4 linked regions of the Astyanax mexicanus genome follow. The protein of the gene in region 1 interacts with the protein of each later gene in a pairwise test. Links are inferred from orthologs where the notes say so. Each region holds a gene or a part of one and is shown on either strand. Other genes may lie near its edges.

What was found.
Region 2: the proteins of sumo1 (region 1) and etv6 interact in a two-hybrid assay, tested with the Homo sapiens proteins (2 studies listed by BioGRID). The link is inferred for Astyanax mexicanus from reciprocal best matches to the Homo sapiens genes SUMO1 and ETV6.
Region 3: the proteins of sumo1 (region 1) and sox2 interact in binary tests that used the Homo sapiens proteins (3 or more experiments, as listed by UniProt). The two-hybrid records come from large-scale screens. The link is inferred for Astyanax mexicanus from reciprocal best matches to the Homo sapiens genes SUMO1 and SOX2.
Region 4: the proteins of sumo1 (region 1) and setx interact in a two-hybrid assay, tested with the Homo sapiens proteins (2 studies listed by BioGRID and IntAct). The link is inferred for Astyanax mexicanus from reciprocal best matches to the Homo sapiens genes SUMO1 and SETX.

The regions. Positions count from the first base shown.
Region 1 is NC_064412.1:37,933,865-37,940,757, reverse strand, and holds the start of sumo1 (small ubiquitin-related modifier 1), read right to left. Parts: upstream 3,027-6,893; 5' UTR 2,880-3,026; coding exon 2,868-2,879; intron 2,103-2,867; coding exon 2,034-2,102; intron 555-2,033; coding exon 477-554; intron 1-476. Other genes in the region: nop58 (nucleolar protein 58), read left to right, coding at 6,372-6,416. UniProt on the Homo sapiens protein: Ubiquitin-like protein that can be covalently attached to proteins as a monomer or a lysine-linked polymer.
Region 2 is NC_064409.1:31,538,497-31,545,887, forward strand, and holds the start of etv6 (transcription factor ETV6), read left to right. Parts: upstream 1-4,389; 5' UTR 4,390-4,775; coding exon 4,776-4,808; intron 4,809-7,391. UniProt on the Homo sapiens protein: Transcriptional repressor; binds to the DNA sequence 5'-CCGGAAGT-3'. Plays a role in hematopoiesis and malignant transformation.
Region 3 is NC_064423.1:26,444,729-26,451,800, reverse strand, and holds the start of sox2 (transcription factor Sox-2), read left to right. Parts: upstream 1-4,052; 5' UTR 4,053-4,444; coding exon 4,445-5,431; 3' UTR 5,432-6,524; intron 6,525-6,697; 3' UTR 6,698-6,801; intron 6,802-7,072. UniProt on the Homo sapiens protein: Transcription factor that forms a trimeric complex with OCT4 on DNA and controls the expression of a number of genes involved in embryonic development such as YES1, FGF4, UTF1 and ZFP206. Binds to the proximal enhancer region of NANOG.
Region 4 is NC_064424.1:27,370,758-27,378,222, forward strand, and holds the start of setx (probable helicase senataxin), read right to left. Parts: upstream 3,025-7,465; 5' UTR 2,946-3,024; intron 1-2,945. UniProt on the Homo sapiens protein: Probable RNA/DNA helicase involved in diverse aspects of RNA metabolism and genomic integrity.

The sequences.
Region 1 (6,893 bases):
TTGCAGGTAAACATTTAGATATCTGCTATTATTCTTAGCATTGCTATGGATGCCAATTGATTGTGCATTGCAAATGACTTTGTGAATCTCAACACTTGTCCACAGATAGAGGTGGGACAGTACTGTGTTTAAGACTGATTTAATTAGACATGCAGACTAAAGTGATAACTTGTATATTAATAGTGCTTTTACTTGTTACATGTGTTTACATGTGTGGTGGATCAGTCCTGAATTCGGTAATGGCGAGGCTCTAACCAGGAGCATCCCAATTAAAATGTATTACTTGGAACTAAGAAATTCCAACATCTGACTTCAAATGGAACACAGCAATATTATTTGAAAGAAGAAAAGCAAAATGGAATGGTGTGCTCCATCACACAAGCCACTCACTCCCTTCAGATATTAGAACACCTTGATCTATTATAGCGCAAACCCAAACATACACTACATGTAACAAAGGTTCACAGGGTTCTTACCTGTCTCTGACTGTATGATTCCTTCAGTTTCTTTAAATGCGTCGTCATCTTCACTTTGAAGTGAATTTCACTGTTGTCCTGGAAGGAAACATTAGGAAAAACTTGGAGTAAGTTATAAGGGGGACATAGTTTATTCAGGCCGTGAACACCACAAGTAAGGGTGGGTGATACGGTAAAAATATAAAATGATAACATATTAAAAGCATTATTACAACACACAATACAACAACGAAAGACACAATACAGTGTTGTTTACTCAATATATGTTTAGAAAGCATATTCAGCAATACTTTCTCTTAATAAAGCGTTTAAATTTTAGATTCTTGTGTAGTTCATCATTCCTGTCATGCAAAAACCTTAACCGTCCATCTCCATGTTTGTTGTTTTTTCACTGACAGTGTAAACACAGAAGTTGGAATTTACATTATACTAATATGTCATAATGAATTGACCAATAGTGATGTTCCAAAAATACCAAATAATAAAACAAAGTAATAAAAAAAACTGTATTATGTACACAGAGGAATGAAATTAGGGTCCTCTATGACCATATGCACAACATAACGTGCAAACTGGTCAAACATAAAAATAGAACACTACAATAAATATTAATGAATACTGCGTACATTAAAACAATAGAAAAAAACAGATAAATGTACAGTTTGGTTAATCAATTTAATTTGATAAATCAAATTACTGTTTTAAAGCGATTTTTAAAATGAGATACGCAGACTGCAAATTTTTACATAGCAATCTCTATGTGCCAAAAGAAATCTCTCAATAAATAGTAATTAGGCTTAAGTTTCTGTCAAGAACCCTATAAAGAACCTCTTAATTTGGTTAATAAATGCATAAATAAAATGATAGATATAACTGGTGTTTTAATTATTTTCAAACATCTACAAATTAAAAATACTAAGGACTTACAGCTCTGGGAAAAAAAGAGACCACTTAAAAATGATGAGTTTCTTTAATTTTACCAAATTAAAAACCTCTGGAATATAATCAAGAGGAAGACGGATGATCACAACCAATCAAACCAAGCTGAACTGCTTGAATTTTTGCACCAGGAGTGGCATAATGTTATCCAAAAACAGTGTGTAAGACTGGTGGAAGAGAACATGCTAAGATGCGTGAAAACTGATTACAAAGCAGGGTTATTCCACCAATAATTGATTTCTGAACTTTATAAATATGAACTTTTCTTTGTATTATTTGATTTTTGAAAGCTCTGCATCTTTTTGGTATTTCAGCCATTTCTCACTTTCTGAAATGTTATCCATAGTTTATAAAATAAAACAATGTTCATTTTATTCAAACATATACCTACAAATACAAAATCAGAGAAACTGCTTCAGAAACTTTAGTTTTTTTTTCCAGAAGCCTATGCAAGAACTAAAAATATCGAGAATATCGAGATTTTTTTACCCACCCTCTAGTTAGAGTGAAGAAAACTACAGTTTATCACGATCTGATATAATAAAATATTAAAGTATTGCCCATGCCTAAAAACAATAAGCCAGCTTCAACAATCAAATCTGAAGTTTCCCCTCTTACCTGACCAATCACTTTCAGTTTAATATATTCTCCGTCCTTCTTCTCTCCATCTCCTGAGGGCTTAGTCTCCTGAATACAGAAAGATATGACATTACACTATGTTACATATGTAAAGGAATACGCTATTAACTGAGGAAACACTGGTACATTACCAGTAAACACTGGTAAAGATGTGAATAAGACTCCCACGCTAGTAAAAAACTAGCTAGGTAGGCTAACTAACTCAGCTAACTAGCTGTTTGCTAACGGATTCCACTGTATTGGTTTGTGTGAAACATTTCAACACCTGATAACGTTAGCTAGCTAAGCTAATTTCAGCAGTGTGCACTGGTTTACATTAATGCTGTAACGCAGCAGGATAATTAAACCACTATTATAACAAAAGAATAACTCAAAACTGACAGTTTACCGGACAGACCGGCAGATAGTCTGTAAACTTAGATAAGCTAGCTGTTAGCTCAGCTAGCGTTAGCTATGCTAGCTAATACTCCTGGGCCCACCAGCCATCTAACGTAGCTCTCAGGCTTTATACTGAAGCTAGCACCTAACGAGCCTCACTAACCCGAGTCTAAACACAACATTTAACTCGCTACAGCTTCAGTAAAGTGAACTCTCCAAAATACAAATCCCAAACAAGGGAAACACAAGGCTCACCACCAGAAATCTGCCCCAGATATCAGTAAAACATGAGCTAATTAGCGAGCTAAAAGGTTGCTGTAGCTTGTTATCGTTAGTAAACGGGCCTCGTATTTTCATATTTAAGCGCTGTTTCTGTCAGCCTGCTGCTGCTCGCTCAGCTCCACACAGTCTGTGAGACATTCCTCCAGAACCCACCGTGTCCGACATGCTGCTCCTCAGCGCCTAACCCTCTCCCACAGTGATTTAGTGAGAAATGTAGGTGAGTGTGGCTGTAATGTAGGTTATGTTTCTCTCTCGTAGACTCTCCCTCTCACACACACACAGCAGCGCTGACCTCACTGGAACAAGGGGCGGGAACGATGACAAAACCCCGGCCAGTGTGAGTAAAGGAGGCGTGTTCAGGTTTTAAAATGCACCTACAATTAAAGAGCATCTTATTTTAAAATTTCATAGTTTACATATACGGAAACGTAATGCTGCAGAGTATAATTAAAATATGAGCAAATAAAATATACAATAATAGTAATAATAATAATAATAATAATAATAATAATAATCTGCCACATGTCATTATTAAAAACCGTTATCACAAACTGTGCCTTATATAAAATTGGCTTTTATTAAAAAAAAAAATTGGTTGAATTTCAAACGTGCTGAATTGTTCATGGTGATCTTGTTCTGTTTCAAAACAATATTTTGATTTTCTGAATACATATTACATATGCAGACATCCCAAGTTGCAATAGTTTCAGGGAGGTTCCCCGCACCTTGACTTCCTGCCTCCCCCCAAAAAAACATAACTTGCACACCAATATATACATTTATACATTTAGTCCCTCGTGTGCAATGCGAAAATCACTATTACATACTGTACAGCGGGCAATACTTCCATTGCCCGGGAGACTTGTGGGCATCAGGGAGCAGTTATTAGCATGCAGTAGACTCCTGCAACTTTTGGAAGACTTGGGAAGTCTGCAAATGTGTGATAAAACAGGCGTTGTTTTAGATAAATAATATCTCATTATTAAGAGATGTATGTCATAATTTGAAGATAATAGATTCATAGTTGTTTTTTGTCCAGACTATCTAAAATCCATTTGAATACAATCTGGATATAGCAAGAAAAGGATTTGGACTGGCAGTCTAAACATTTGAGTCCACCACTGTCTCTAGCACAGTTTAGTGCTCTCACACACTTCCTTTCTCCAGGATTTGTTTGAACTTGCTGAGTCCACACAAATAAAACACTTTATTCAGAACAGGATTTTGTAGTAAGAATTGCTCATAAATATGGCCTAACAATTTGACATTGAGGAAAAAATGGTGCACCATTATAAATATTTGAGAAATATGTTAAGATAACTTTTTTTGTTTGTTTACATTAACTCATCAAATTAAGTTTTGAGATTTCAATTATAGTCCATAAATCAGTTTGTGTGTGCAACACTTCCCAATCCTCTCTTACTGTCAGTGTGTAGTTGTTTTTCTGTTGTTCAGACTACCTTTACTCATCTATTCTGTTATATTTTATACAATGGTTGATTGCCTGTTCTCAGTGTTGATGGCTGTAAGAGCATGTAACCATTTTCTATACAGATGAGTTTTATGTATAAAAACTCCCTGTTCAATGTTTTATATGGTTTCAATATATGGTATTTATATTTATATGGTTTTTCTTAATCTAGTGGAAAGGAAGGGGTGGAGTCCAACACAGTTTGATGATAGTTCTGGTGTAACAGAGCTACTGAATCTAGCAATTAACATATCAGTTGAATCAGGTGTGCTTAATCAGGCAAACCATAAAACCCAGGACCAGGATTGTCCACCCCTGATTTAACTTAATTAACAAAGTTAGAGCCAATAACTGGAAGATGTGAATACAAATCATGTAAATACTTTATCTGTATTTCCTGCTAAAATCCAGGTTGTTATCCAGAGAAACATACCCTATGCTATCCTACCCAGTGTAGGGTATGTTCTTTCATGTTGACCAGCTGGTCTTTCTCTGGATTTTTTATCAGGGTTGTAAACTTGCTAGGTTGCTTGGTTGAAACAACATGTATTGTGTAGTAAATCAACTTGCAGAGAAGAGTCACAGCATCTAGTAATAATAAGTTTATTTTAACTTAAAGCTTTAAATGAGCACTAAACTCCCTGATTTTTGCTGACACCACCCTTACTCAAATTTAAAAAAAGGTAAAATTTGGAAGGGGTCGTTTGGGTGTGTCACTCGGTGATGTATGGGTTTAGAAGTGGGACCGAAGGGAGAGCTGATTGGCTAAGCTGCAGCAGCAGTGTGCCTCTGATAGCGGTTGGACGACAGTAGGGGACACATCATCCTCGCCTATAGAACAGTTGGACATGAGAGGGTGCTGCAGAGGCGGAAATTACCACAATAAAAGTGTTTTTTAAAGTTTAGGAAATGTTAAGAAAAAATTTAAGCAAGACTGGTTTGTTTTATTACTTAAAAAAAAACACATTTCAATGATTAATGGAAAAAATATGGTTTAGGGTTGAGTGGCTCTTTACAGGTGAACTACAGTGTGAAATGGACTTGGGGTGTAGTTAAACATGATAACAAGTACAAACTGTTGTGCAATAGCCCATCTTCATTTACCCCAAGCATTCTGATTTACAGGCCTTTTTGCCAATGCTCCCAACATGCTTCTAATGCTAGTGATAGGGGCATAGCATTGCCCAAGCAAAGAAATCTCACCATTAACAAGTAGCTTCATTGGTATAAGTTTGAGGACCCTGACATTTAAATTGAGACACTGAGAAAGTGCACAGGTTTTATTTAAAAATATTTTTATACACACAGGATAGCGAAAGAGATTGCAAAATAAATTCAGTGCAAATGCATGAATATTATAGAGATATTTTAGCAACAGCTGGACTTCATGCATTTTAACAGAATTAATGTAATATATTTTATTTTATTTTGCACTACTTTGTCTTATTGCAGTGTGATTTTTGATACAAACAAGTTTAATAAATATACATTTTGCAAGAATGATGTTCTTTATTGCATTAATTTTATCCAAAACAAATGCAAATATATAGCAGTAAAACTGTGATTCTTTTTGATATACAAGGTTGTAGCAAAAACGGAGGGGGGGTGGAGAAGCTTATAGCCAGAGTTGAATTCAACAAAAATAAAATCAATAACTTACAGTGTGGCTGAAAAATAAACTGTTGATGGGGACAAACGTTCTCTGATAAATCACAGTATTGATATACACATTATTTGTAACTTAATATGTAAAATGTATTGTATGTAAACTTCACCAGAAGCATGATGGGAAAAAATCTCAGAAATAATCTAGTTGAAGTCTTGCAAATAGTGATCCCCAGACTTAGCAAAATCTTAGCCTGTGTGTAAACAGTCTGTGACTTGTCTTTAGATGTTAGAGAGTGTCAGACTTTAGTCTGTTTAAAGTCTTTTTTGAATCTTTCTTGAATCTTTCTGTCCTGTATTGAGTGTTTGAACAGCATAACAGTGTGAAGAGTCGCCATAGTCAGGGTATCGTCCACCTCTGCTTAAAGACCGCCTATCAGACCTACTGCGCATGCGCGGGAGTTGCCCGCGTGCACCGCGTGGTGAGCAGAAGTTCTTGCGGTTAGCCGTGCTGTGGAGCTGCTCTCAGCCGGGAGCGCGTTAATTCCTCTTATATTAACCAAACAGACAGTTAGATAAAGATGTTGGTGTTGTTTGAGACTGCGGCAGGCTATGCCATCTTTAAGGTAAGTGTACTTTACTTAAATAATGTGCAATAAGCACAGTGAGCTTTCTCCTCGCGAACTGTCGTTTTCAGCCTGTTAGCAGCGTAGCTTTTCTCGCTAGTTGAAGTTCCTCTGTGGATAGATGACTTGGCGGGCCAAGAACTTCAGTTTAGGTTGTTTTTAAAGTGTAAGTCTGGTTAAATTTGCGGCAATAAGTGTGCATACGCATACAGTAGTTCTAACGCATTGTCAATAGCCGGGTTGTTAGCTATAGCAGCGTTAGCTATGCTAAATATCTCAGCGCAGTGGCTTGTAGGGACGGGCCTGCTTTGCACCCACGTTGTGAAATTTCTGCTAAGCTAGCCGAGTTAGCCAGCTGTATTAACGCTATAGTTATCTATTTGTCGAAAGAGAATATGCTGTGTTTTTAACTACGTGTTTTATGCACGTATAAATGCAATTAAAGTAAGCATACTCACGGTAAATTTAAATAACGTT
Region 2 (7,391 bases), on another chromosome or scaffold:
TGCAGGAATACTGCTGTACTTTACTAGCAATAAGAGTGTTTGTGACCCCAAGCCACAAGAGGGCCCCGTTGATCAACTTTTACACCATCTGCATTTATTTATTTTTTAACATAACACATTTTTGCCTCTAAAACTCATTATAACATATACATATGTTCAGTATGTGATGTGCCTTTAGTAAAGAATCTTTAGACATTTTTTAAAATTGATTTAATGTTCTTCTTTTATGTCTTTTTAAACAGATCCATATCTTTTCAGAACTGCAGTGGTGAGTCATCTTTTCACATTGGAGAGATAGTAAGAACTCTTCTCACTTTTTCAGATCAGAAGTGAGAGTGAAGCTTAAGTGTCTACAATCTCTCAAACTAGACTGTAAGTGCTGTATATCTAAGAGGGTCATTTTGGCAATCTACCAGGTATGGTTATGGTTATCCTTTAAAATATATCCTGGAAATGAATGTACTGAGAGTTAAGTAAATTAAGTATGGTTAAGTATGGTATAGGGTAGGTCCTTTTGTGCAGTACACTTCTTTACAAAAAATTAACTACAAAAGAGGGTAAATATATATTACATAACTATTACAATACATTTAAAAATGATTACAAAAGTATTTTATCTTCTTTCAGATCCATTGAATTATATCTTTTTCTGTTTTTTTTAATATAATTGTATTTTATGAATTCTACATGTTGGCCTTATCATTGGGATATTTTAAATTTAGGCAACAGATTTTATAATCTAATTAATTTCATCAAAACAGAGGGTATGTCCCAATTGTGTATTTAAAATAAGTAAAACGAATTCACTTTTAAGTATAAACCATTACATAGTAGTGATTAAAAAAAGTATAGATAAAAGTGTTAAGAGTTAAGAATACAAAAATATCAGACATATTCAGATACATACTCCATTGATTCAGTATTTGAGTGTGGTTTCGATGGAGGAGAAGCTTCTCTGATCTGGACAATTATTAGAAAAAAATAACATGACTGTAAAACTGTCTGCTATATATGCTGGCAAAGCAACACTTAATCACTTCTGTGTACTAACCAACACTATTAAGATGTATGGTATATATTATACAGCTTATAGTATTAGTGGGTACTTCTGATTTTCTCTTGTAAAAAAATAATAATAATAAAAAAACCTCATAATTGTGGGATAAAATTATGTAACAGTTGGCATGGTGTAGAAAACCTGCTAAAAGAGACAGACTGTTTTAAATATTTTGTGTGTTGAACATTGGCATGCGGATCATTAGCAATAGAGGTTTTAGCATTTATCATTAAATTTGACCAAGTTTTCCAATTTTATCACGAAAAAAGTTTCAAAATCATTGTGGTTCTCCACTAATGTGTAACAAAGGTGTAATGTGTTTCTTTTGTTTCTACTCTGTGTCTGACACAGTGCCAACTACACTATGTTTCTTTGGTAAAGTCTACAGAATAACACTCATGAGAGCTGTGTATGTGAGTCATATTTGTGTAAGCTCCTGTAATTGTGCTCTTCTGCCTCAGTCCACATGCTCCTTTCATTTCCAGTGACGGTTCTGCTGTTCTCAGCATATCCAAAAATACACGAAAGCATGTCCTTCTTATGAGGTGGCTCATAGTGTGAAATCCCATTCCCAGCTGTACAGGGAACAAGCTCAGGAACAAAACAATCCTCTCAATTTTCTCATACAGCTTCAATACACTGCTTGGTCTGAAACTTGAGCTAGCTGATGTCTTGCTCAATCAAAAGGCAAGATATGGACAGCTTACTGCAAGATATAATTGTATAGCTGTGTTGTCTTTGGCTGTTAACATTTTCACCCAGTGAAACAGAAAGCTAGGTTGCTAAACTTCAATTTAAACATGAGGCACAGATTCTTGCCCCAGAAGGAAAAGGGAAAAACACATTTGCTGTGTTTACAACACTGGTATGCTAGTCAGTCAGCATCAGACCATCATAAACGGGTTTGCACAAACATTGAATTATTTTGCTATAAGATTTCTATTATTGTCATTTTTTGTTTTGTTCTGATGAATACCCAAAATTGTGTACAGTATGTCTACTAAATAAAATATGTCTATAGCAAATGTAATTGTTTAGTTCTTTTTTTTATTAAAACATGACAATCATGCAAAATTGTTTAACTCACTGCTTTCTATTTAACATTGTGTCCACCAAAAAAAAAAAACGAAAAAAAAAAAAAAATACAATCAGTAAAATTGTTCTCCTGTGATCTAGCTAGAATTTCTGAATTATATATTTAAGTTAAATTACATATTTATCTGCTATTTTTCACTCAGGGGTCAAGAGAGCAAGAGCTACTATTTAATGCTGAATCGAAATGTCAATTTACTAACATTGTCTACAAAGCTTACAACTTTACAAACTGTCTACTTTCAATAATAAGCAATGTTTTTTTGTTTGTTTATGTAGCGTTTTATACGGATTTACAGTCTGACATATTTATTACTGTACGCTAATAAAATAGCTGTCATTACTGCAGCCTTTTCACAACATGTTTATAGTTTCTCCTATGAACAGATCAGTGTAAAAAGTGACCTTCTATCAGTAATGCACCATTTTCTCGTGTTTACTGTGTTAAGTAGACATTGAAACCCTTCGATTAAGCAATGCTTTACTCCACAGTGTCAAAAGTGCACAGCGGCTTCAATTCCCAGTTTCCTCTGCGCACATGCTGGGAAGACAGGATAGCTGTGTGTAAGCGCTGACCTGCGACCAGTGTTGTGGGTGCAGTACGGCACGGTGATATGCTGTGTGACCAAACTAGCTGATCCAGGTACAGCTCCAAAAAGGCTACACGCTTAACCACACCCACAAACGCTGCACACGATGCGTTACTTCCCCACCCGTATTGGGGAAAGCCCCGCCCCGGTGCTCTTCGATTGGCCGACTACTTGCGAATGTTTACCAATAGCCAATCGCAGAGCGGGAGCCAAGAAGCTAGCGGAGAACAAAACAAGAGATGAGCCTGAAACTGCAGGAAAGTAAAAGTGTTACTAGATGGAAATCATAAATGACTCAATTACAAGTAAGATTAGTTCACTCAGGAAAAACAAATGGAAAAAACTGGTTTGAAAGCAACTTTTAGACTTTGTTACTATAAGTATATGAAATGTTTACCAGTCTGTCACTGTATTATCTGTGTCTTCATTTTTTATCATATTGGTCTAACAAAAAAATGATAAAACTCAAATGTGGGAAATGTTATGTGAACAGAACAAAATAAAACGTAATCCAGAAATGTAAGTAGTACCCCATTTGATTTAAAGTTGCTGATCTTAGTGTTAAAAATGGGATTAAATAGGCCAATTTTTAAAACTTAAATTAGTACTTTAGGAGATGTAATTTTAATGCATTTATAAATAAGCTACTACAATATGTAATGTTCTTATGCACAAATTAATAAATTATCATATAAGAGCATACCAAAAGTGCCGTTTGTAAATTTTGGACCATATTGTAAAGTAATGCCATTTAAAAAGATCCAAATAAAAAGTAAATGTTAACTAATGAAATGGGTGGTAATGACCCATTCACAAATTTGCATATTTGTAGGTTATGGTCGAGTGTTGGTACCCTTGAAAATTAACCAGAAAATGTTCACATACATTGATTTACATGAGTTCACAAGCATCACATGTTTGAAACAGATTTATTTTGCCACATTTTTAAAAGGTGCCAAGAATTTTGTCCAATTTTGGAATTCTATACAAAATTAGGCCCCTTTTTTCTTTTTTTCTCAGTTTTTTGTGTTGTTTCAATATACACAAAGGAAAAAAACATGTACAACTAAACATGTGTAATTGCAATAATTTTCTGTGAAAAATACATGGCGATACACTTTCTGGAAAGGGATTTCAGGGATGAAAAGTTTATGTCATTTTAAAGCATTAACTAGTTTAGCTGATATATGTAAGTAGGTACTACAGTAGTAGCTGCTGAAATAAGTAGCGTTAATACATATACATAAAGATACCCTATGTAGATATGCCATATTGTTAATGTGGAGCACAGTATTGTACATTGTTATTTTATAATTTGTGTGTTTGGTGTTAAAATCCAACATAATTTGAAATATATTTAATTAATAAATCAGTAGATGTAATTTTGAAGCATATTATCAGTTTAGCTGCTATATGTAAGTAGACATTAAAGTAGCAGGTTGTGAAATAAGCAGCTTTTCGTACATATAAATAAAGATATCCTTGTCATATTGTTACTGTGGAGCACAAGTATCTCACAGTGCAGCTTTAACCAGTTACTGTGGTCTGTTGGCCAATCGGCGCGCAGGGGGGGCGTGGCCTGTCTCAGTACGGGCGGAAAGCAGAGGCCGGCGGCTCGAGCACAAACAGCCCGACTTCCTGAGAGGGTTTCCCTTTAAGGGGGCTGCGCCTCACTGCTAGGAATTCACGTCATTTCGCCACCAAACACGACCGAATCAATGAGCGCAGCGCGAGTCTTCCAGGAAGGTGTTAACCATCACCTCGCCAAAATGTAGCGCCGCTGCAGGAGAGAAGAGCACAGCAGCAGAAGTTGGAGGAAAGCTTTGTTGGTGTTTTCCGGGACGGGCGGGAGCGATGGAGCCGCAGGCCGAGTGATGAGCAGCAGCAGCAGCGCGCCGGCGGCTCGACAAACACTGAGGCCGGACTGTCTCTGCTTCTCCGCGGCGGCGGTTCCTCTGTTTCACAGAGAATAAAGAAAAGAAGGAGGAGGAGGAGAAAAGGAAAGTGGAAACGGGAGAACTTCCTGAATTTGAGACATGTCCAGTTCCCCCTCGCAGGTCAATGTTAAGGTATTTATGTGTTTATAACTATGTTAATGTTGAGTATAGTGGCGTTGAGAGAGACTGTGCTGTTCTTACTGTTACTGTTGTTCTTGTTGTCACGCTGTCCTCATCTGTTGCGGAGAGTCCTGTGTTTCTGTTGCTGAGAGTCCTGTGTTTCTGTTGCTGAGAGTCCTGTGTTTCTGTTGCTGAGAGCCCTGTGTTTCTGTTGCGGAGAGTCCTGTGTTTCTGTTGCTGAGAGCCCTGTGTTTCCAGTGCGGAGAGTCCTGTGTTTCTGTTGCTGAGAGTCCTGTGTTTCTGTTGCTGAGAGTCCTGTGTTTCTGTTGCGGAGAGTCCTGTGTTTCTGTTGCTGAGAGCCCTGTGTTTCCAGTGCGGAGAGTCCTGTGTTTCTGTTGCTGAGAGTCCTGTGTTTCTGTTGCTGAGAGTCCTGTGTTTCTGTTGCTGAGAGTCCTGTGTTTCTGTTGCGGAGAGTCCTGTGTTTCAGGTGCTGAGAGCCCTGTGTTTCAGGTGCTGAGAGCCCTGTGTTTCAGGTGCTGAGAGCCCTGTGTTTCAGGTGCTGAGAGTCCTGTGTTTCAGGTGCTGAGAGCCCTGTGTTTCAGGTGCTGAGAGCCCTGTGTTTCAGGTGCTGAGAGCCCTGTGTTTCAGGTGCTGAGAGCCCTGTGTTTCAGGTGCTGAGAGCCCTGTGTTTCAGGTGCTGAGAGCCCTGTGTTTCAGGTGCTGAGAGCCCTGTGTTTCAGGTGCTGAGAGCCCTGTGTTTCAGGTGCTGAGAGCCCTGTGTTTCAGGTGCTGAGAGTCCTGTGTTTCAGGTGCTGAGAGTCCTGTGTTTCAGGTGCTGAGAGTCCTGTGTTTCAGGTGCTGAGAGTCCTGTGTTTCAGGTGCTGAGAGCCTTGTGTTTCAGGTGCTGAGAGCTGTAGTGTAATGTGGTGGTAAACCCAGGCTCTCCTGGCACACTGCGAGGCCTGTTTACTCTACTACTAAAGAAACACCTGATGAAAGCTGCGCGGCTCAAGCTCCCATTCATTTGTGTACAGTGGAGGTGTGCGTCCTGTGCTGCAGCACACTTCCTACGAGCTGCAGTGCCCTGAAAATCAAGGTCCAGCTCAGCTCTGTTGCAGTTAGCCCACATGTGAGCTTGCTGGTTTCCTGTTGCGGAACTGAGCTCAACAAATGTTACCCATATTACATTTGGGCCCCTATTTCATGGCTTTATTTTTAAGCCAGTGGCTCCCAAAGTCAGTTCTACGAATCCCATCATGCCTCCACTGTAAACACTCATGCAGTATCCACACAAGTTATTTGCAAGCTGGGTGAAGCACAATATACCTTTAACTGTTACCTGTTTGTACATTTAAAGTTCCAGGACTGGGGATTATAAACTCCTGGTTTGTATTGATGAGATATTGTGGGGTTTAGTACCATTTATTCTCAGTTAATTTTGGCACATTGATTATTTATTTATCTCTCTCAGTTATTACAATTAAACAGAGCAGTTGGTTTCCTGTGAGGTTTTACCCTCTATTGGTAAATCTCTTTACAGTGTTTCTCAATAAAAATCAGTCCAGGCTTAAATACTCCATATTGACTCCAGGCTGAAGTGGCTGAAGTGGAGTGGCTGAAGTGAAACTGTAAAGTACAGTGCTGTACATACGCCGACCATTACATCTAAATATTTTACTGTAACTTACTGGCATAAAAAATCAGTAACTTATTATATTGTACTGTAATACACATGGTCATTCGCATAACCTACAGTAATATGGAGGTTTATTTTTTCAGCTAAATTGTGTAAACTAGACATTCAGTTTAATCAGAAAGACAGGGTCAGGGTCAGTTAACACATCTGCAGGTTACATTTACTTACTGAAATGAAATACCCCACATTTCAGGGCCCTTCACTTTGAGAAAGTGTAGAGTACTGACACTGACTTGTGGTGATACTCTACAGATGCTGTAACTAAAGCAACAAATGCAAAAATAGTTATAAAGGTAAATAATACATGGCAACTGTCTGAAAAAACTGTAGCAAATATTTTACCACACTGTAGCACCCATCTAGCATCATTTCAACCACCTGGGATACCATTGCAACATCATGGTAACCAAGTATATCATATCTTATCATACTAGCCACCTACACACATCACATGAACCACTTAATAACATCGTAACAACCACCCGAGTCAGTGATTCTACCTGCGTAAAAGTCACCACCAATCTGCTAACTGCAGTGTGTTCTCCTCCTCTCACAAAAACCAAGCAGCTGTATGCAAGCGCAATGCAAAGTGTCAGATGGAGGGGTGTAAAGCACATTGCCACTGAGCAATAGAGCAGTGGAAACGTGTTCTGTAGAGTGACAAATCACTCCTCTCTCTGGCAGCGTAATGGATGAGTCTGGCTTTGGTGAATGCCAGGAAAACATTATGTGCCTGACTAAACTAGGAGCCCCTTATTAGTACTATATACCATTCTATAGTCTATATAGAATGTAGAGTTGTCTATGGTTCCACACACAATTTCCAGTGGCTCCAACAAGGAGAAGGTGAATAAACACATGACTGATTTCTCAGATTTGCCTGAACATTCAACAGAAGA
Region 3 (7,072 bases), on another chromosome or scaffold:
TTATATTAAGGAAAACACACTCACTGCCCATTTCAAATTCATTTGGGTTTATTTGAATTTTCACTGTTTATTAAAGAAGGTTTTTGTGTGACAATAAAGAACTGCTGACTATAATCTATCTGATAAAGTATGGTTTTACAGGTGAAATGCTTTGGGCTGTGTTAGCTTGTACAGTGCAGAAAGACTAATTGGACTGTGTTTGCTTATTCACACTTTTCTGAGGATTAAATAATTGACTCAGCAACAGAAGATTAGTCTTGGAATTTTAGCTGCAAAATTATAATAGTTATAATAATGATAATAATGTGGCATTTGTTGTTTTTTTGGTGAAATTAACTGTACGGTAGCTTTGTATGACATGGCAATGCATTCTCAGCAAAGGGAGGAGAAAAAAAATTCTTTATCAAATAGCCATTCTTTGGCTTTGAATAAAGCGAGCCCATTAGCTCCCGGCCGCTTTTGTTGGCCCTTTACAAGAGCGAACAAAATGGGTTATTCAGGAGAAGGCTTTAGATTTTTATTGTGGGTAGTGCACACAAAGAGCAGCGTTATTGTATTAAAAAAAGAACCATCTGTGGAAGAAACAATGGCTTCAAATTATCTTTGAATACCCGGCGAGAGGGAAAAAAAAATAAAAAAAATACAAAGCTTTTTCCTCCTCATTATGCTCGGTGCTGGGGGTGGTGGTATAATTTGACTTTTGTTGTTCTTGATGCATTCTTCCTCTTTCAAATCAGCCCTGTGTGTAGCCATAAAACGGCGTTTTCTTGTTCCAGGTCCGGCGAGCAAAGAGGAGCGAAGGCGAGCGAGGAGTGTGTGGAGTGTGCTAGGGAGCTAGGAGTGCACGTCGTGCAAGGAGTGAGATTTATGTGGTTTACATGGACTATGAAGTGTACGAGGTGGTTATGAACTGTGAATATGAGGTGTGTATTGTGCGTATGAGGCAGTGTGTGTGGACTGGCTAAACTGGAGATCTGAAGCTTTGGATGCAGCAATTGAGGGATTTTTTTTTTCCTTTTTTGGTAAAAGTTTTGGCACCTCTGGGACAGATGCACTGTGGATATGGGCATTTGCCAGGCAGTAAGGAGAAATAGCAGCCAGTGAGGTGAGTGTGTATCAGCACAGTGAGAAACGTGTGTGTTTGGTTGAGGGTGGAAAGTGCTGATTAGATGTGTTAAATGCCTAAAGGGCGTTTACACTATATTTTACACTAATATATATATATATATATATATATATATATATATATATATATATATATATATATATATATATATATATATATATATATATATATATAGTTTACACACACGTTAAACTTAAGGGAATTCATTCTGAAATAATTGTTTTTAATGCCTAAATATTAAACATGCGCTGCTCTCATTTAAGAACAACTGTTGACGCAATTACGTGCATGTGCATTTGCCTGCGATGCGAACGTCATCAACGCGTTTTTTACGAGCGCCTTTTTTTTTTTACAGTAAAAGTTTTTAAACTTAATATCACGTGAATGGGCTTTTATAAATAAAATATATATATATATATATATATATATATATATATATATATATATATATATATATATATATATATATATATATATATATATATTGATTTAGTTTTTGTTGTTGTCAATTTGGCCAATTGTGTGTGTGCTCATATCTTGTTTAAAAAGTGTTACGTTTATGAGAAAATATAAATAGAAATATTAATTATTTCCCCCCCCCAAAACTAGTCAGTTTCTACACAAGCTGCTGTTCATCTGCGCCCCCTAGTGGACAAACCATGCCCAATGCGAACGGACTCACACACACACACAGACAATATAATGATTTTTTGTTATACATCGCTAAAAAGAATTATCTCCAAAATTATGCAGAAATGTAAATCTACTTTTAATATTTATTTTTTGACTTATGTTATAAAATTGAGGAATAATTAGAGAGATAATGGAGAGTTGTGGATGTCAGTGTGCTTAGCTGAAATAGGGTTTGAGTGTTTTAGCTTAGTCTGTTTCATAGTGTTAAAAATACATTTTTTAAGTTTAATATTAATATTTAATATTTTTGATTTTATTAATGTATATATTTAATTATAGAGTTTCTTCTGTATTGATGTGGTTAGGCTTGTTTTGTACAGCAGTCTTTTATGTGCTTTCTGGTTGTGTGTGAGATATTATTAAGCACTGGATGAGCTCTTTCTTTATGAAAATATTTGTCTGCTCTCAGTCTCATAGAAGTGTGTGTGTGTGTGTGAACATTTGCTGTATTGTAATTGTGTCAATTAAGAAAAGTGCAGTTAAGGAGGACTCTCTCTCTCTCTCTCACACACACACACACAGACAAATACAGATGATGGTGATTTCTGATTTCCTGCTGTTCACTGCATTTCCATAAGCAGATTAAGGCCCCAATAGAGAGAGGGAGAGAGGGGTGTCCACTACACCTCAGCCACACACATACGCATCTTACCACTTATACACCATTATACTCAATTTATACCAATATACTCTGACCTTGTAAAAACAGTTGGGTTTATAAACGTTATAAACATTTCACTTCTTCCTTATGAGTTAGTCTTGAGCTAAAATAATGGCCACAACATTTTACCCTAAACTTAAACCTTTTACCACATTCACCAACAGTTTAGTCTACAAGATTTTAATGCAAGATATTTTAATTTAAACTCCAACATTTTTATTTAAATATTTTTGTCTAAATCCCAGCATCTTGCCCCAACCGCCACTATCCAACTCCCAAATTGTAGTCTAACCACTAAAATTTAAATCCAAATTACAGCATTATAGTCCAAACTTAATTATTTTAGCCCAAATTTAATATTATACATTATAAAACCAATATAATTCGAAATAAAATTCTAATCCAAATTTTAACATTTTAAAACTTTTACCCAAAATGTTTTTAAACCCCAGCATCTCTGTGCAAAATCCAAAAGTTAGTTAATAATGGAAATGAGGGGGAAAAAAATTCAGACCTGAAAAATTAAATCCTGGCTGATTGGCCACAAAGCACACTTTCTTCCAGACAGAGTAATTTAGTTTATACTCAACATTTTAGTCCAGATCACCACACTGCTACTCTTTAGACTGCAGTGAAGCTTGGGGCACTATTAGAGGCGTTAGTCAAACCGGCCGGAAGAGGGCGCTGTTGAAACACAGTGAGGGCCTCGTCGGCTCGTGCTTTTTGTGAATTAAAAGTGATCTGATTGCACGTGTTTGTCTCTACAATAAGCCTTGTTTGTAAGCCAGATCGGCTCCACTTTCCTCTGCAGAGAGTTTCATTCTCTCACCAGTTTATTTATAACTGGGACTGGCACTGAACTGGACTAGAGGGCTTATAACTTACAACAAGTTTAAATCAAACACAGGAGGTGCTGAAATTATCTCAAACTGTTGTGTGCACAATCTATCAGAGTAAATATAAAGCTGCAGTTGTTCGTCCATTGGTTGCACTATGCACGAGAATAAAACTGTATAGTAAAATCTTCTTTCACTGTGGGTCAGTACATAGTGATACTTTTTGAGGTTTTAAACGGTGTATCAACCAAATCAATATTGGCGTTCTGATTTACTTTAACTTAAAAATTACTGGACATTAGAAATAATGAGGAGAATTTGAAATTAATAATAAACAGCAGCAGTGTCTCGAGGCAGGGAGATCAGTTAGATGGTGAAAACTCAAATAACATATATTAAAACCCATATATCATATAATATATATTATACTTTCTTTATCCCGAAGGAAATATATATATATATTTCTCTGACTTCCACAGCTTTCACTTAAGTTACTAACATTAGGGCTAAACACTGCACATTATCACGTTCAAATTAAACTTGTTTCATATATCTGCAGCGTGTGTGTGTGTGTGTGTGTGAGAGTGAGAGAGAGAGAGAGAGAGAGAGAGTGAGAGAGAGATTTCTGTTCAAACTCAGCTGGGAAACCCACTCTAGCCTCCCAATGCCCCGCCCCTTTATGCTAATTAACCCACCAAACCCCGCGCTGCGATTGGTCAGGTGAGAAACCATTTATATTGGCTGACAGTCCTTCCACGTGAACGGTTGTCTATTAACTTGTACCAAAAGTATCTGGAGTTGTCAAGGCTCCGGCGTGGAAAAGGGGGCAAAAAAAAGCTCAATTTTGTTGATTCTTTTGAAGACTTGAGAAGTTTGTGGGCAAAACAGGAGTGAGGGGGAAATAGACGAAGTGGAGAACTGCAGAAAAACTTACCCCAGCACGGGCTGAAGGGGGGCTGCCGCAGAGAGCGCTTGGACTTGGTTTGTTTTTATTTTTGTTTAGTTTTTTTTTTATTTTTATTTTTATTTATTTTTGTATTTTTTCACTTGCCAGAAGTTCTACTACTTCTTCTGCTGGTGCTTTTTGTTCTTGGTCGAGTGGAGAAGGTTTTTGACAACGATTTCTAGATGTATAGCATGATGGAAACCGAGCTGAAGCCCCCGGCCCCTCAGCCGAGCACTGGGGGCACGGGGAATAGCAACAACCCTGGGGGCAACAATCAGAAAAGCAGCCCAGAGAGGGTCAAGAGACCCATGAACGCCTTCATGGTGTGGTCCAGGGGCCAGCGCAGGAAGATGGCCCAAGAGAACCCCAAGATGCACAACTCGGAGATAAGCAAGAGGCTGGGGGCCGAGTGGAAGCTGCTGTCCGAGTCCGAAAAGAGACCCTTCATCGACGAGGCCAAGAGGCTCCGCGCACTGCACATGAAGGAACACCCGGATTACAAGTACAGACCGCGGAGGAAAACCAAGACGTTGATGAAGAAGGACAAGTACGCGCTTCCTGGTGGACTCCTCGCACCGGGTGGCGGCGGGGTGGGCGTCGGTGTTGGGGTCGGCGTTGGAGTTGGCTCCGGCGTTGGGGCCGGCATGAACCAGAGAATGGACGGCTACGCGCACATGAACGGCTGGAGCAACGGCGGCTACGGCATGATGCAGGACCAGCTCGGGTACGCGCAGCACGCCGGCCTCAACGCGCCCATGCAGACCTCGGCCACGGCACCAGTGCACCGGTACGACATGAGCGCGCTGCAGTACGGCTCCATGACCACCGCGCAGACGTACATGAACGGCTCGCCCACGTACAGCAGCATGGCGTACTCCCAGCAGCAGAGCGGACCCCCCATGACACTGCACGGCTCCATGAGCTCCGGGGTGAAGTCCGAGTCCAGCGCGAGCCCACCGGCCGTAGTCACATCTAGCTCGCACTCGCGCTCCGCCGCTGCCCAGCCGTGCCAGACGGGTGATCTGAGGGACATGATCAGCATGTACCTGCCCGGTGCGGACGTGCAGGATCAAACGGGCCAAAGCAGACTGCACCTGTCCCAGCACTACCAGGGCGCACCTGTGCACGGGACGACCATCAACGGCACGCTGCCCTTAACGCACATGTAGATGGACACTTGGACCCGTTTTACACAAACGCGAAAACACTGGGACTGGACTACTACTGTTATTATTATTATTATTATTATTATAATTATTATTATTATTTTTGTACAGAACTTTTCTTTTTGGTGAGGGAAAACTTGTACAGGACTCGAGGAAAGAACACAAACATTTTTTCTTTGCTTTCGTTTGAAAGAAAGCAAGTCATGCGCTAGAAGAAACGGTAGGAACCGTACAAAAATTATTTTATTTTTTAAGTGTGTTTTCTTTTTTCTTTTTTGAAACATACAAAAGGGAGGAGGGTGGGGAGAATCAATCAAATGATGTTTTATTATTGCAATCAACGTTTTGTACAGTATTTATCAAAAACATATAACAATCAGTTGTAATGTTTGTAAACTACAAAAAGTGATTTTTTTTTATAAAATCTAAATCATGCAGAACTCACAATGCTTAATGCTCCAGTCTCTGCAAACCGCTGGAAAAAAATATAAAGCAGGAAATGTTTCTCCTTGAGGGTGAAAGACAGTACAACATTTTTTAATTTAGTTCTAAAAGAAAAAAAGATGAAATACAAAAACACTCGCACGTAAATTTATATATTATTTTGTTTTGTTTTGTTTAGTCCCCAACCCTCCATCTGTTAGAGATATGAAGTTTGTGTTCTTTATTTTCTCATGGCTTGTAAATTTTCTGTATATTTACTGTGATATTTTAAGTTTTTATTTTAAAAAAAATTTAACTCTTTTTTTCCGTAGTTGTATTTTTAAAAATGTGGCCTGTACGCAGATGCCAACACTCCATGTATATATATATATATTTGAACTAATAGCACCATAACAGTTACAATTTCAGTAAGAGAGTTTTTTTTCAATATGCAGTTTGAAATGAATAAATTTTTGAAATTTGGATATTTGAAATTGTTTTGGGTTTTGATTTTATTTCTTCCTTTTGTAGGTTTGTTGTTGGTTTCATTTGCTTACCTCCCACTCAGGACACAAATGATTTAATATGCTTTAATAGTCAGTGATGCACAAAACAAAAAACGAAAACTGCATGACCATCTTCTCGGTTTAAAAAATATGCGGCTCATTTGACTGTAAGTATTTGAAAATGTCTTCTAATATCTTCTAAAGAGCAGTAAAGCAACTGCGTGCGTGTGTGTTTGAGGAGTGCATGCGAGTGTCAGCTTTGCATCCACATTAATGTCTGTGTTGAGCTTTTTAGATCGAGCTTTAACACCGTTTTCTGTTTCTGTATTTTGTTGTGAAGGACTGTGGCTCATCGGCTCTTCGGAGGTTTTATTCTCCTGTAAATCTGCATTTTAATGGGGCTGGCTGATAAACCTACCAAAAAGGCTGAAAACCCACCATGAGGTAGATTTCATTTATTTAAAGTACATTACTCTGAATAAATGTGTGAACGTGATTAAATACATTTTAATCTCAATAATTTACTCGCGATTGTAAAAAGTGGTAAGGGCAGATCTGTCAGGTTGATACTTTTATATCTTTATGAAAAGATGGAATGTATTTGTTCACATCAACTCAGGTAAATCTTAGGTTTAAGTTTAATTATTTTGCCTGTTTAATTTTAGTTCAATTATAATTTCATTTAAATTAAAGAGTTTTATTTGCTTGTTGACAC
Region 4 (7,465 bases), on another chromosome or scaffold:
GATGTTTTTTGAATTCAATGGAAAGCAACAGGTGTAGTCAATTATAAGTTTAAGATTTTTAATCCACCTCACTGTGATCTATAGTCAGTGTTCTCAAGTCACACTGACACACGCATTTCAGCGAGTTCACACGCTCTCACCTGCGCGCACCCACCCCTCCGTTAGATACAGATACAAAACCTGCGCGCCCAACCCCCGCCCCCCCTCCCCCGTTGGACAGATAAAAACAGTGATCACACTCCCGCCGACTGCGCTCATGCAGTGGCTATCTCTATTTAAATGAATAGGATGCGCTGTGTTGGTGCCGCGCCATTTGCGTAGCGCGCTGCACTATTTGCGTAGCGCGCGCGGGAGGGATCGTCGATCCTCTTTTTGACTTCGATACTCGAGATCGTGACCTCATTTCGATTCGATTTCGATAAAATATCGAGATCGTGACACCCCTAGTATAAACATCATATAACAGTTATATACATCTAGTAAATGCATAGAAACTGCAAACATACAGTAAATAGAAAAATAAATTCAAAATAGATTGCTTTCCATAATGTCGCTACAATCACAATGTTTTTTTATTGTGTTCAACATGTTTGAAATACTATTGCATAAGATACAATAAGGCACACCCTTAGATAGCACTGCCCCTCACACCCATGACCCATATAATGGTTTATGATGTGATACTTGGTAACTGTCATTGTATTGTTATTTTTTAAACTAAATAACAGACACTACAGCAGATTTATACTGAGCAAACGCTGCATCTAAAACGATTCAAGAGTTAGGGCCAGTTTGGTTATTAGCCATTAGACAATGGACAGCACACTGCTGGGGATGAGGCCTAAATATTAAATAGCAAATAAAATAAATAAATAGCAGCATGAGGACTGCTATATTGGATTGCTTGTTGGAAGCTCATTTCAAAACATCATGGAAAAGCTAGTATGTGTCCCATAATTTTGCCACGTCTCATTAAAGAACGCTGCACTGACCTGCAGGATATGGGTGGAACCTGCACTGAATGTAAATGTAAATTGTGGAATTGCTTTTTTATTGTACAGAAAATTCTAGCCATCCGCTGCCAGTCACAATCACTACCAACCACTTCACTGTTCACCATCAGTGGCAATGACTTCTATGATGCATTACCTGTACTCACGCTACTGTTGACCAAGGAATGTCACAAGCCAGTGCAAGTTGCATTGGATATCCAATCCATCTGGCACACACATCAGGCCTTGCTCAAACTCAAACATCATTTACAGCACCTTGCCCTGAGCATGATGGTCAGTGTATCGCTCACTCTTGACCTCACTTAACAGAGGTGGGACTAGATTTCTATGAGAAGTAAAAGTCATCTTAAAAAGTTCTGAGTTCTCTCAGAAAAGATCTCTGATGACTCTTTCTGAATGGAATATTCCAAACTAGTAAAATAGCACATCATATAACTAACATTTAAATACTTATGGAAAAAAGTATAACATATCTAAAGTTTTCCTCTTGTAAATGACTTAATGAGTAATTTAAGTGCAATTTACAGAGTGACACAAATGATACACACTTTCCAGCACCCCTAAAATAAGCATTTTTTTTTAGTTTTCAGCCATCAACCAGCTGAGTGTAGGCAGAGTGCAGAACATTACATAAGTGCAAATAAGAGAAAACCTGCAAATATGCTGCATCCCATACCACGAAAAAGGTAGAAAACACAAATAAATGCATCACTAATATACTGCATTATGTAATAATATACTGACTGGGGAGTGCAATACTCAGGTTAGTCAAACTGCCACTACTGGGCCTCTGAACAAGGCTACCACTGGGGGCACATGTGCCTAAAATGCCACTATCTGTGCACGTTTAAAACATGAATGGGTTAAAACTGAAGCAAATGTGGTCCTCTTTTCTTGTCATTCTGGAGAAACTTAAAATGACACGCCTTTTGAAATAATGCTGATTGCCTTTCTGAAAGCTTTCTGAAAAGATTGCAAATCATTACACCAAATGGTTATGACACAGGACATCTGATGCCCAAGACACATTGCTTTAGAAAGCAGTTCTTAGTGGAGGTTACATGCAACTTCCAGCCAATCAGTCCTCAAATACAACAACTTTTACAACCATTTGTTGACATTACACGGATTGACAAAATGCAGGTTTTGTGAACAGAATTTATAATTTGTAGGTCTTGGAAGGTGTCAGCTGACCATAAAAGTGAGGACGGTGTTGTTTAAAGGACTGTTTAAAAGTAACGTTACTGCTCCTAGAATTCGTTTGTTAAAAATTAAGCTCGTTGTTATAACTATGCAGTTCCACCTTAAATGGCGCCAGAACGCAACTCCTGCTGTGTTTAAGGTGGACCTGAAGATTTGAATAGGAAAACAGAGAGCAATGTCCTGTAAACAAACCAGTTTGACTTTTAACTGGGTAAATTCATACGAAACAGCCGAACTGAATGATCATTTGTAATATTATTAGTAATCTAGCTAGGTTAATCTAGCTAAGCTACCGTTAGCTACCTAGCTAGAAAGCTGAAGTCGACGACTTTGCCTACACTCTGGCAGCTTTCTGTTAGCTTAGCCTGTCCGGGAGAAAGCGTGACGTCTTTAGACACAACACAGACTGAACTATAAACAGTAGAATAATGATAAAAATGTTCTCATTTCTCTGGAAGTGCTGTTCAGAAACTTTTGCCGTTCTCTAATACTTGAATCGAAAGGAGGAGCAGCGCTCGTTCCACAGATAGCCATCTTAGGCACGCGAGCGCGAGCGCACGCTTAAAAAATACAAACAACAACAACAACAACCGACAACGACAACAGACCGAAACCACTCTCACACTCTCACTCATACACAACACTTCACTGCTTTCCTCCAGCACGGTGCTGCGCTGCTGCAGGAAAGTCCATGACTGTACCGCTACATGTGTTTTGTTATCAGCTTACCTCCCCCTCGCTGCCTGGCGCTGGTTCATCCCACTCAACACTCCGCGACGGCCGCTGGACTTCCGACGTCACGGCGGCGTCTTTCCGCTTCTGCGCAGACGCAGCCGGGCTCTGTATTTATGCGCGTATCGGTCCCTTTAAATCGGGGGCGGGGACCCCGCAGTCCCCGGCGCAGTTAGCTGATACAGCTGATACAGCTCAGCAGTTAATTGAATTAAGGTTCCACAGCGGCATTCCCAATGCGCAAGTACCCGGCCGCCTAGGGCCCCTATACCAACAGGGCCCCCCTCAAGAGCACCCAGATATCACGATAAAAAAAATAAACTTAATGTACAAAAAATGTGTGTTTGGTAATTTATTTCCTTGTTGACACAATACTATCACTCTCTGCAGACTCCTCCCGAGTAAACACATGATGCTAGCATGTTCCAAACTAGTAAAATATCACTAAAATATCAAATTATATAAAGTAAAAGTAGTCAGGAAGATACTGGAGTGCAATAACAGAAGTAAATTGAATAAAGGTTCCAGAGCCGGCCCAAGGTGTATAAGTATAGGAAGTCAAGTATAAGTTGTAAGGAAGTCTAAGGCACAAAATCTAATGAAATTTGTGTTTGATAGATCATTTCTGTGTTGATACAATACTTTTTTCTTTGAATCTATGAATCTTATACAATTGAAAAGCCTGTTAATTTCCCTTTTATATTGTAAAGTTTCAGGGGGTACAGATAACAGACACTTTAACCTGATCCACTCACATTGAAGCTCTGGTCAAGAGAGTGCAGCAATGCATGCATTTCCTGAGACGGATGAGAAGAGAAGACCTTCCACCTCCGATTCTTAACACCTTTTACTGTCAAAATTATATCTCTGCATCTCTGTATGTCTGGGCAGGACCCTGTAGTGCTGCAGACTGGATGTTTCTGCAAAGAGTGGTCAAGACAGCTAAAATAATCATTGGGACTTAACTTCCTCGCCCACAGGACATTGCCATAAACTGTTGCCTGACCAGAGCTCAAAACATAATTAGAGACCCCTCCCATCCCAACCATGGTCTGTTCTCACTGCTGACCTCTAAAAGGAGGTCCCGCAGTCTTCGATGTAGGACAACCAGGTTCAAAAACAGCTTTTTCTTGTATGCCATAAGACAGTTTAAACACTGAAAATAATAACACTTGTGCAATATTAGTTTTTTGGTTCTATATGTGCAATATGTGGGTATGTGTTGCAGGTATATAGTTAGTTTACATATTTGTACAGTGTGTATATGATGGATATGTATAGTTGTATATACTAATATATATATATATTGCTCTACTTGCACTCTAAAAAGTATTACTGTTTCTGGTTGTTTCTCCTAACTACTGGACCGTTGCAACGAAATTTCATTCCTTTGTGCACTACTGGTGTAAAATTGAATGACAATAAAATAATTCTGTGTACTAATTTGCCCTAAATTTGGAGATGTTATTATAGGGCTCACTCCAAATAATGCCGCAACAGGGCCCATGCTTACAGGTACTCACCTTGCGGTATCAGAATGTCAAAACAAGAGTCAATAGCAACAGCAAAATACGCTGTTTGGCAGTGGAAGAGAAGACTTGGAAAATTATTCATGTGTTCAACCCACATACTCAGCTATACTGCTCATCACACAATAGTATGTTCCTTATAAACGTGGCTCCACTTAAATGGGAAATGAACAGGCTTTTCAATAGTGTAAGATTTATCAATGCCAAGAAGCATTGATCCAACAAAGAAATAATATAACAAACACAAATTTCCTTAATTTTCATGATATGTTTTATGCTTATTTAAAAAAAATATATATTGATTAATACAAATAAAATGGTATTACACGCTTAAACACAAGTTTTATATTATTTTCATTGTTGGCACACCAATACTAGGTTAAATGCAAATATGCAGTGCTTGAGTGTTTGATAACTAATGTAAGTCAGAAGTGAAGTGAGTGCAAATCGGCAAAGCTATGTCTCAAAAAATGAATTAACCTTCTGGAGAAGAGATTGTGTTTTATTTCACACAGGATTTAGCCAGTAAATTGTAATGAAGCACGGATGTGCAAGTTATGAATACGATTTTTTGGTTTCTCCATGGAATGGTTGAAATGATGAAGCATCTGGTACTGAGGTTATGGAATGGGGGGGCCCATAAAGGCTTGGGCCAGCCCTTAGTTCATCCTCTGCTTAGTTCTTGACTATCATCACAAGTGTCATATTTGTTTTAGCTTGATGGTTAAGCTGGTGAACTTGACCAAGCTGATGAATCAGCATGACCAGCACAACCAGTATCACTAAGCTGGTTGACCAAATTTTTAGACCGACATGCCAAACATCATGAGTATCACACAAAGGTGTCAAAATGATTCAAATTCATTGCTCAGGTAGATGTATAGATACTAGGGTTTAAAATTCTTCTCTAGAAGTGTTGAAGTACCAACTCAAGCTTTTTACTCAAAGAAAAGTGTAAAAGTGCTTGATTCAAAACTACTTTAATTATAAAAAAATAAATGTAATGTAAGGGACAAATGCCATTAAAAACAAAAAGCTTAGATCGTGCCACAGGGTCTATAGTGCACTCGACCAAACAAGGCAGGAGAGTTGTGAATGCTGTAGAAAAACAGTTACTGTGAGTTATGATATGGTTAGCAATATGCTGTCACTGAATATGTCTGTGAATAGGGCACAAAGGCTGATTTAGGGTGTTGTAATGTACAACATATAGTTTCCCAAAGGAAACATACTTCAGTATTATTTTTATCATCATTATAAACCTTTACATCCTGCAATCTTAGGGCTAAGTACAAAATAGCCATGGTAATCACACTATTAGAACAGCCAGAAAACGGAATAATAGTAATAGTAACACTGCACTGTGACTGACAGTGTGATTTCTAAAAAAAATTAATAATAATAATCTAGTGAAGTATAGATAGCAATTTAGTATAGATAACCAACACTTTTACGTAGCAAATGTATGGTAACAAAGTATTTGTATTTAGACACCTCTGGTATCACCTGACCACCATGAGTATCAGCTTGATGATTCTTAAAGACCACAGTTGTCAGTCAGCATGACCTGAATGACAAAATGTAACAGCGCCGCCTTCTGGTCAAACATCGCCAGATCCTTTTCTTTACAACAGAACGAATTCTGTAAGAAGCAATCGCTGCTCTGGGTAAATTCTATTTTCAGCAGAGCAATGTAACTGTTCTACTGTATTATTTTTGATTAAAAAAAATAGTGTTAATAAATGTTAATGTATTAGCTTTGTAAATAAAAGCTACTTTACACTCTTTTAATCAAGGCTAGTTGATCACATGCCCAATTGCTGTTATGCAATTAGGCTGGATACCATTCTTTATGATATTTAGATTATCAACAATAATTACTATTAGCTACAAAAATGATAAAATGTGTTTTATGTAAAGGCTATATCTATAAAAAAAGGAAATGTCTAAATAATATTAAGTATTTAATTACTCTAAACAATTACTGACTCCATTTTTATGTATACTGAGAAAACAATTAATAATCTCTAAATGATTTAATAAAAAGCCACTCACTTTCTTGTCTGTGTCTTGGGTGGAATGGTTGACCATAATCAAATGTGACATGTTGCTCAAGAGCTGATTAACCAGCTAGCCCGTTAACCTAACCTACCAGTCCAATATAACCAGTGTTCCTCAAGTGTGTGAGACAATGTGTTACAACACTTTTAGAGATAAGGAATCAGTGTAAAACATCTCTTCAGGATATAGAGTGCACAAGATTCAGATTTTTCAATATTTTCTTTTACCTCACCTCCACATTAAATAAAAAAATCAGGCCCTGTTTACAGCTGGAATTAACATACATTTCGTATTAGGATATACTTTGACCGGATTCTGTTTACACTTCTTAAATTCGTCCCCAGTGTGACCAGATGGTATCAGCTTTATGCTGTTTTTTGTGCACAATACTATATAATGTGTTAGTATGAAATAATAGTGCCAACAGTGCTAATAACCATATTTATCTCTTTTATTCAGCCTGATATGAATTACACAATAAAATAAAAGAGAAAAAAATCTAAAGAGAGCTATTCTATAACGTCCCTTCCCTTTGTGGACATCCCATCACAAGCACTCTCTCCATAGGCGTGGTAACAGGAGAACAGCATCATCGGCATTGTTCTTGCCAGAGTCATCGTCAGCACATGCTTAATGTTCACCTGAGGTTTCAGTGGTCAGTGTCTTTATTTTTTCCTTTGTTTTCATTCTGTTGCGCATGTTTGCTCCTTCCATGCTACCAGATGAAGTCAGATGTTGAGGAGCAGAGGGTTAGCAATGGTTGTGGACAGTCTGTGCCTTTTCATGATCTGGGATGTGTCAACAGGATAGATAGATAAAACAGAAGAGTTTATTATATATAAAAAAGTAATTGTCCCATTTGGATCAAATCCATACCCAGGTGTATTATGGCATCACCTGTGTTGGCCTTTGTGTTCGTTATCAATA